Linked DNA regions of Macaca mulatta. The protein of the gene in region 1 interacts with the protein of each later gene in a biochemical or structural test. Links are inferred from orthologs where the notes say so. Each region holds a gene or a part of one and is shown on either strand. Other genes may lie near its edges. The genes, in order: GLG1 and SELE.

Region 1 (4,362 bases):
GCCAACAAGCTCTCATTCCCCATGATAGAGGCCTGGGGTCAGCCACAGTGGGTAATTTGTACTCACAGAATATCTTCAGTCTCAGGGGCTCCTTTTAGGTTCCCTGAGCTCCTGACTTCTCAGGTTCTAGTTATGTCTAATCTGGTCTTGACTGATCATTTGTGGGTCAGGACAGCAGAAGCTGCATTTTTGGACACAATGACCAGGGAAGATTACACATCCCAAACTGCCCTGATTCCCCAACATGTGTATGGACAAAGTGGGATAAAAGTGCACCAGGGTGGTGGGAAGCCCCAGGGATTCTGGTGGCTAGCCTGGCTGTCTACAGGATGGCAGAGTTCTTCTTGGGCCGCTCATTTAATCCCTCCGCACAGAACTGTTAACATCTCTATGCCATTCTTCAGCTAAATGAGAACCTAACGCAGGCCTGATGCATGGCTCAGATTACACAGCGGATGTGAAGAGGCTTTGGGAACATATCCTTTCTCCTAAGGACAGGGAGGGGATGCTAGCGTGGGGTGCCTGCGATATTGCATGCAGGTCAATGAGAACAGTTACCGACACAGACTTAACCCGAGTCCTCAAAGTGTGTTTTATTATTATTTGTTCATCCTTTAAACATGAATCTAAATGTTGGCTTAAAATCAGGATTTACGCACAAAGGGCTTCACAGTTTAACAATACTGGCTATGACTTTTGGAGTTCCATGTTGTGGGCCAGGCACTTCCCTTATTATTATTTTGAATCTTGTCAATGGTACTTTACATTTGAGCTCTTGCCCACTCTATCAGAGCAAGGATTATAACCTTAATTTTTTTCTTACCCCAAGACCTATGCTCTTAACCCTATTCAATGCTGTCTCTCTCTTTGGCTAGGAAAGACTTCTGAGGCAGGTGGAAGGAAGGAGGGAGCGATGCAAGGAGAAGCTTTCCGATTCCGTAACACACCTGGTTGTGCAAAGTTCACCTCTACATATAAAGTTTTTGTTTTCCAAGTCATTGAACCGGCGACATATTCTACCGGCCATTTTGGTTGTGGCAACCCCAATTCCCTTGATTTTTTTTCTGTGACAAGAAAGGGAATTAGACTAGGCCGCCTTGCCCGGGCTTTTTAAGAAACCCCACCAACCACCCAGGTAAGAAGCGCCGCTCTCCCAGCCGCGGGTCCAGGGCGTGTACGGTTTTCAGTGTAGCCTCTTCCTTCGCCCCACTCTGGACTTGCGGGTCGGCGCCGGCAGGGGCGGGCCTCGGCAGGGCCACGCTGCCACGCCCGGCGTCTCCGCCCCCTTATTTAAATACGCGGCGCCGGCGAGTGCGTCGAGCTCGCCGCGGACCCAAGATGGCGGCGTGTGGACGTGTACGGAGGATGTTCCGCTTGTCGGCGGCGCTGCAGCTGCTGCTGCTAGCCGCGGCCGGGGCCGAGAAACTCCCCGGCCAGGGCGTCCATAGCCAGGGCCAGGGCCCCGGCGCCAACTTTGTGTCCTTCGTAGGGCAGGCCGGAGGCGGCGGCCCGGCAGGTCAGCAGCTGCCCCAGCTGCCTCAGTCATCGCAGCTCCAGCAGCAGCAGCAGCAGCAGCAGCAGCAGCAGCAGCAACAGCAGCAGCAACAGCAACAGCAACAGCAGCCTCAGCCGCCACAGTTGCCTTTCCCGGCGGGTGGGCCTCCGGCTCGGCGAGGAGGAGCGGGGGCTGGTGGGGGCTGGAAGCTGGCGGAGGAAGAGTCCTGCAGGGAGGACGTGACCCGCGTGTGCCCCAAGCACACCTGGAGCAACAACCTGGCGGTGCTCGAGTGCCTGCAGGATGTGAGGGAGGTGAGGAGGTGGGACGAAGCCGGGAGGGCCAGGCCTGGTGCGGGCCCGAGGGTGTTGCCAGCCTTGGAAGACGCTGACGCCGGTCGGCTGCTTTTCTCGCTTCCTCTGTGCTGCACTCGCTCCTTCCCTCTTTGCTCCTCATTCCCAGGCGCATTCAGGGAAAAGGATCCCACCCCCACTTCTATTCCCTCGCCCTTATTTCCCTCCCTGTTGCCGGGGTCTGGGACGAAGACCTGGACTCCTGGCCGCAATCCGCGGAGGCCCAGAGCGTGTCTGTTCGCTCCTGTCTTTTGTGTGATCCTCTATACCGAGTGTCTCCTCGCCGAACACCAGTTTAGGATTTTGCGATCAGTTTTGACTAGGACAATTTGTGGCAAGCCATTTAAACATAAAAAAATGCCTGGCGTACTTAGGCTGTAAAGAACGATCTGTTTATTAGCAGTAGGGGTTTGATCTGCTGTTTATTACAGTAGATGTAATTCGCAAATCCATCTTCTTGCTGAAATAATGTATGCTTTGTTTTCTTCACTTCCTTTGGTCAGTTTGTATTGAACCCCATGTTTAGGCTGTTAACTCCGAGTGACTTGGCGACCCAAAGCTTGAAAAGTTGGGGAAGCATTTGAAGCTGTGTTTGTGGCTGGGTTATGGGGTCTTGCTTTTCTGAGGTCTCAATGTGATTTTAACAGTATCTGTTAATGAAATCTAGATTTGCCATTGCTTGGTGTGATTCAGTTAAGTGACATTGATAATTTATAATCTAGGTTTAATGCTGCAGACTGTAAGTGCATATTTGACAATTCTCAAAGTTTGGGAGCAAATCTGACAGTAGAAACTTTTTCCAGAGGTGTAAGTATTAGAATTAGCCCTAAAGGTTGACACATAGAATAAAGCTGCTACTTGATACTGTTTTTAGCTGTTTTTTTTTTTTTTTAAATTGTAGTATCAGATTTGTTTACGGCGTTCAAGTTATAGGAAGACCACTGACTTGTAGAAATTTGCTACTCTTGGTTCATCTCATGCTCTAGTATTCTATACAAAAGCAATTCAGATAGAGGAAAAGACATACATAAGCAGGAGACAGAAAGAAAGGAAGTTTCCAGAACCACTGGAAATGCGAGGCCTTACCTGACTTCTCATCTTCAGCTTGAAGGCTAGAAGGATAGTCCTCTGATAGATACAGCTAAGATTCCTAAGTCGGGGTGTCAAACTTTTTGGAATTTTCTTTTTGCTCTTTGAGGACACATAATAGATGTCGTTTCATCAAACTACGATCCTAATACTGGTGACCAAACACATTATTAGTGGTTTGTGGTAGAAACAGCACTTTATTTATTTATTTATTTATTTATTTTGAGACGGAGTCTGGCTTTGTCGCCCGGGCTGGAGTGCAGTGGAGCGTTCTCGGCTCACTGCAAGCTTCGCCTCCCGGGTTCACGCCGTTCTCCTGCCTCAGCCTCCCGAGTAGCTGGGACTACAGGTGCCCGCCACCACGCCCAGCTAATTTTTTGTATTTTTAGTAGAGACGGGGTTTCACCGAGTTAGCCAGGATGGTCTTGATCTCCTGACCTTGTGATCCGCCTGCCTTGGCCTCCCAAAGTGCTGGGATTACAGGCGTGAGCCACTGTGCCCGGCCAGAAACAGCACATTATTAGGGAAAGTGGCAAAAAGTGCCTACGCAAGGAGTGTATATATCCTTATTCATGTGTATTCCGGACATTTGGAAACCTCCACTTAAAGGAGGCACTTTTATGCTCCAGAGGAGGAAAGGTGTCATGTAAATTGGAAATGGGAGTTTTGGGGGTTTAGGGGGAGGGGGAGGAGCCAAATTCCCAATTTAATGTTTTTTCCTCCAGTTTTTACATACAGAAATACTGAAAGAAGAGTACTGTGAACACCTGTGTATATTCTTCAGGAGGTGGAGTTATTTTTAAACTTCTTTTCTTTTTCCTTTTCTTTTTTTTTTTGATACGGAGTCTCACTCTGTTGCCAGGCTGGAGTGCAGTGGCGTGATCTCGGCTCACTGCCACCTTCACCTCCCGGCTTTAAGCAGTTGTCCTGCCTCAGCCTCCTGAGTACCTGGGACTACAGTTGCGTGCCACCACGCCCAACTAATTTTTGTATTTTTAGTAGAGACAGGGTTTCACCATTTTGGCCAGGATGGTCTTGATCTCGTGACCTTGTTATCTGCCCATCTCGGCCTCCCAAAGTGCTGAGATTACAGGTTTGAGCCGCTGTGCCCACCTTATTTTCTTTTCTTTTTTTTTTTTTCTTTTTTTTTGAGACGCCCGGGCTGGAGTGCAGTGGCACGATCTCGGCTCACTGCAAGGTCCACTTCCCGGGTTCATGCCATTCTCCTGCCTCAGCCTCCCGTGTAGCTGGGACTACAGGCACCCACCACCACGCCTGGCTAATTTTTTGTATTTTTAGTAGAGACGGGGTTTCACCGTGTTAGCCAGGATGGTCTCGATCTCCTGACCTCGTGATCCGCCCTCCTCGGCCTCCCAAAGTTCTAGGATTACAGGCGTGAGCCACCGTGCCTGGCCTATTTTCTTT
Region 2 (4,583 bases), on another chromosome or scaffold:
ACTTGAGCTCTGAAAACCTACCGAATATGGAAATTAAAATGATCCCCATTTACTGTTACCATCATTGAGATTGGATAAGATGCAGAGATGGGGAATGTATATACAATAATCCAGAAGAAATGTCAAAATGCAGAGCAGGAATATAGGATACCACATACATCTCCTTCTGTTGCATTTGGAAACAAGTTTCTTTTCTTTTCCTTTTTTTTTTTTTTTTTTTTTTTTTGAGATGGAGTCTTGCTCTGTCACCCAGGCTGGAGTGCAATGGTGCGATTCAGCTCACTGCAACCTCCGCCTCCTGGGTTCAAGCGATTCTCTTGCTTTAGGCTCCCCAGTAGCTGGGATTACAGGCATGCGCCACTACAACCCAGCTAATTTTTGTATTTTTAGTAGACACAGCATTTCACCATATTGGTCAGGCTGGTCTGGAACTCCTGACCTCAGGTGATCCACCCACCTCAGCCTCCCAAAGTGCTGAGATTACAGGCATGAGACACCATACCTGGCCTAGAGACAAGTTTCTTTAAACTGTATTCTTGTTACGATAAAGGTGGAAAAAAAGGGAAATTGAAAAAATCAGAAGATTCTGAAAATAATAATGAAGGATATAAAAATTATCCCAAATCCTGCCATCCAGAGATAGTCACTGTTAACATTGTGGAAGAGTTTTTATTCTTTGCACATTAACATTTCAAAAAATTTAAACAAAATTTGGAGCAATTAAATATGGATATATAGTTTTCCTTTTTATTTTTATTTTATTTATTATTATTTTTTAAGACAGAGTTTCACTCTTGTTTCCCCGGCTGGAGTGCAATGGCGTGATCTTGGCTCACTGCAACCTCTGCCTCCCAGGTTCAAGCAATTCTCCTGCCTCAGCCTTCTGAGTAGCTGGGATTACAGGCATGCACCACCATGCCCAGCTAATTTTGTATTTTTAGTAGAGACAGTGTTTCTCCATGTTGGTCAGTCTGGTCTTGAGCTCCTGGCCTCAGGTGATCTGCCCACCTCGGCCTCCCAAAGTGCTGGGATAAAAGGCATGAGCCACCACGCCAGCCTCCTTTTTATTTTTTTACACTGAACAAACCATGAAACTTTCCCATATGTAAATATCTATTTCCCATTTTTCTTATTTTTAAAAAATAAGACATCATTTTAATCATTTGAGTGGTAGATATTATTTTTAGATAATATTTTAATTTAGGCATAACTGCTATGCAAAATCTGAAGATTAATATCTACCTCGTGAGTCATTCCTCTGTGAGACAGTGCATGTTAAATATGTTGAATTGGCAGGTGAAAAAGGAAGAAAAAATGAGTAGTGATTGGTTATCAACAGCCATGAATGAGAAATTGAAGGTAGTAGACTATGGATGACAAACCTATTCTTGGTTTCCTTATGTTTCTGAAATTCTACCACAACTACATGAGAGATACTACTAACACGCAAAGTTTTACAACTTTTTAAAGACATAGACTTTACGTTATCAGAATTAAAAATCATGCATTTGTGTCATATTAATAAAATTGCATATATAGTATAAAGGCATGGACAAAGATGAAGTAGCTTCAAGAGACAGAGTTTCTGACATCATTGTAATTTTAAGCATCGTGGATATTCCCGGGAAACTTTTTGGATGCCATTGGGGATTTCCTCTTTACTGGATGTGGACAATATCCTCCTATTATTCACAGGAAGCAATCCCTCCTATAAAAGGGCCTCAGCCGCAGTAGTGTTCAGCTGTTCTTGGCTGACTTCACATCAAAACTACTATACTGACCTGAGACAGAGGCAGCAGTGATACCCATCTGAGAGATCCTGAGTTTGAACAACTGCTTCCCAAAAGAGTAAGTGCAGAACGCTTTATAAGGGCAGCCTTGGGCCATGAAACACAGATATGCAAAAAGCCTTCTAGTAAAAACCACATCTGTACAAGCTCTTATTGAATTGTAGCTAAAACCTGTCTTTTCTCTTTGACCTAAATGATGAAAATCTTAAAATTTGTTTATTTATTTGATTAAACTCTGAAATAAAGATTATGGCACTAGAATCCTTTACCCAAAATCTTAGGATGCTGCCTTAAACATCATGGTAGAATAATGTAACTGGCTACTCAGGATTTCCTTCTCTAATTCATTTTGTGTTTTATCTCCCCAGTAAAGTATTTCAAGCCTAAACCTTTGGGTGAAAAGAACTCTTGAAGTCATGATTGCTTCACAGTTTCTCTCGGCTCTCACTTTGGGTAAGTCAGTGTCATTAGACCAGGATTTCTCATTCTCGCACTATAGATGTTTCAGACTGAAATATCCTTGCTTGTCTGGGTCCGTCCTGTGCAGGGTATCTGACAGCATCCTTGACCTCTACCTGCAATGTGTTCTTCCCCAGGCTTTGGGCCATTTACTTTACCTCTTAGTGTCTCCCTTTCCTTAAGTGTAAAGTGTGGATCATAAATGACCTATTTCCCAGATGCGTTGTGAGGATTCAATAGCATGGTTCATGGAAAGTACCTCATACAGTGCTACTTGGTGCCTACTAAGTGCTCCATAAAGCTTAGTTATTCTGATTATTATTCTACTACAAAATGGGTTTACTATAATGTTGTGAGTGAGTGCGGGTAAAGCACCTCGTGGGTGGCCAGTCACAAAAGAGATAAACGATAAGTCACTGTTTCTTCATACGTACCTTTTACTTTTGAAAAGATGAGAAAAGTCTGGTCACAAACATTGCCAAAAATAAGACAATAAAAAGCACAGTTATCAGAGTTAAACCACAACAGCACCAAACTCTACCATGTCTTTTCTTTTTCTCCCACTAGTGCTTCTCATTAAAGAGAGTGGAGCCTGGTCTTACAACACCTCCACAGAAGCTATGACTTATGATGAGGCCAGTGCTTATTGCCAGCAAAGGTACACGCATCTGGTTGCAATTCAAAACAAAGAAGAGATTGAGTACCTAAACTCCATATTGAGCTATTCACCAAGTTATTACTGGATTGGAATCAGAAAAGTCAACAATGTGTGGGTCTGGGTAGGAACCCAGAAACCTCTGACGGAAGAAGCCAAGAACTGGGCTCCAGGTGAACCCAACAATAGGCAAAAAGATGAGGACTGCGTGGAGATCTACATCAAGAGAGACAAAGATGTGGGCATGTGGAATGACGAGCGGTGCAGCAAGAAGAAGCTTGCCCTGTGCTACACAGGTAGGGAGTTTGTGGCTGCAGTGGGCGGTAGTTTCAGTGTGTGGGCATCCTGGCAAATTTACGGCATGCAAAAATTGCTCTCTATTGTGGTCATTTTATGTTCTAAAAGATTCTGTTTAACTGCTAAAGTTTCTCTCTTTTGCTGTTTTGTGTGAATGTGGGCAAGAAAATGTGGGTATGTGTATATATGTATGTATGTATGTATATACACACACATATATATACACATACACATATGTGTGTGTGTATATATAAAATGTATCTAAATACTGTAGGCAAATATGTAGTTCTTTACATTGCACACACACAATACATATTTTAATTGCTTGTTTATTGTGGTAGGGGAACTGTCTCCAGAGTTTGTGAAGAAGTAACTTTTCTATGGTAGGTGCCAGCCACAGCTATACATTAGCATCAAGGTTTAAGATAGGTGGGCCTGAAGCTCAGATTTGGAACTTCGTAAAACACTTCAGTTAAAGTCTATGGCACTCTGTAGCACTGCTGATGTCTCCGTTGCACACTGTTGATTCTAAAATCAAAGGCACTCAGTATAAGCACAGCAATAGTCCTCCTCACCATGCTTTGTGTTTTCTGCAGCTGCCTGTACCAATACATCCTGCAGTGGCCACGGTGAATGTGTAGAGACCATCAATAATTACACTTGCAAGTGTGACCCTGGCTTCAGTGGACTCGAGTGTGAGCAAAGTAAGTCTGGTTCTCACCTCTTTCTTCACTTGAGATGGTAGCACGATCTGATGTCCTAGCTGGCATTAGAGTCAGGTCTGCATGCCTTCCCTTCCCTGGTGCAGATGGTGTCATATGGTGATAGTGAGTTGAGACTATGAAGTCAGACCCTTCTGGGTTTGAGTCCTAGATTCACCAGTTGTTTATTATGGAACCTTGACAAGATAGTTTAAATCTCTAGGTCACAGTTTTCTCATTGTAAAATGAGGATAATAATGTGAACTTTATAGGCTCATGGTTACATAGTGCCTGGCTCACAGGATACATTCAATAAACTGTAGTTCTGTGTCCCTGCAAGGAACAGGTGCTCACATCATCTAGGTGGTAACAAGACGTTGCAGTAGAAATGAGTGAGTTACAGAGTCCAGGGTATCTTGGTTCATGCTCTGGCTCTGTAATGACTAGCTGTGTAGCATGGAGCAAGTCGATTGAATGAAATGAGGTCTCAGTTCCTAAATTTGTAAATTTAGAGAGTTAGATTAGCTTCTCTCCAAAATTCCTTAGCACAGCGTTGTGCAGTAGAGCTTTTTGTGATCATGGAAATGTTCCATAGCTGTGCTGTCCAGTGTGTAGCTATGAGCCACATGTGGTTATTAAGTACTTGAAATGTGGCTGGTGACACTGAGGAACTGAATTTTA

What was found.
Region 2: the proteins of GLG1 (region 1) and SELE form a complex in vitro, tested with the Homo sapiens proteins (2 studies listed by BioGRID and IntAct). The link is inferred for Macaca mulatta from reciprocal best matches to the Homo sapiens genes GLG1 and SELE.

What each region holds. Positions count from the first base shown.
Region 1 is NC_133425.1:69,910,483-69,914,844, reverse strand, and holds the start of GLG1 (Golgi apparatus protein 1), read left to right. Parts: upstream 1-1,318; 5' UTR 1,319-1,338; coding exon 1,339-1,809; intron 1,810-4,362. UniProt on the Homo sapiens protein: Binds fibroblast growth factor and E-selectin (cell-adhesion lectin on endothelial cells mediating the binding of neutrophils).
Region 2 is NC_133406.1:27,237,332-27,241,914, reverse strand, and holds the start of SELE (E-selectin), read left to right. Parts: upstream 1-1,725; 5' UTR 1,726-1,848; intron 1,849-2,158; 5' UTR 2,159-2,206; coding exon 2,207-2,243; intron 2,244-2,816; coding exon 2,817-3,200; intron 3,201-3,797; coding exon 3,798-3,905; intron 3,906-4,583. UniProt on the Homo sapiens protein: Cell-surface glycoprotein having a role in immunoadhesion. Mediates in the adhesion of blood neutrophils in cytokine-activated endothelium through interaction with SELPLG/PSGL1. May have a role in capillary morphogenesis.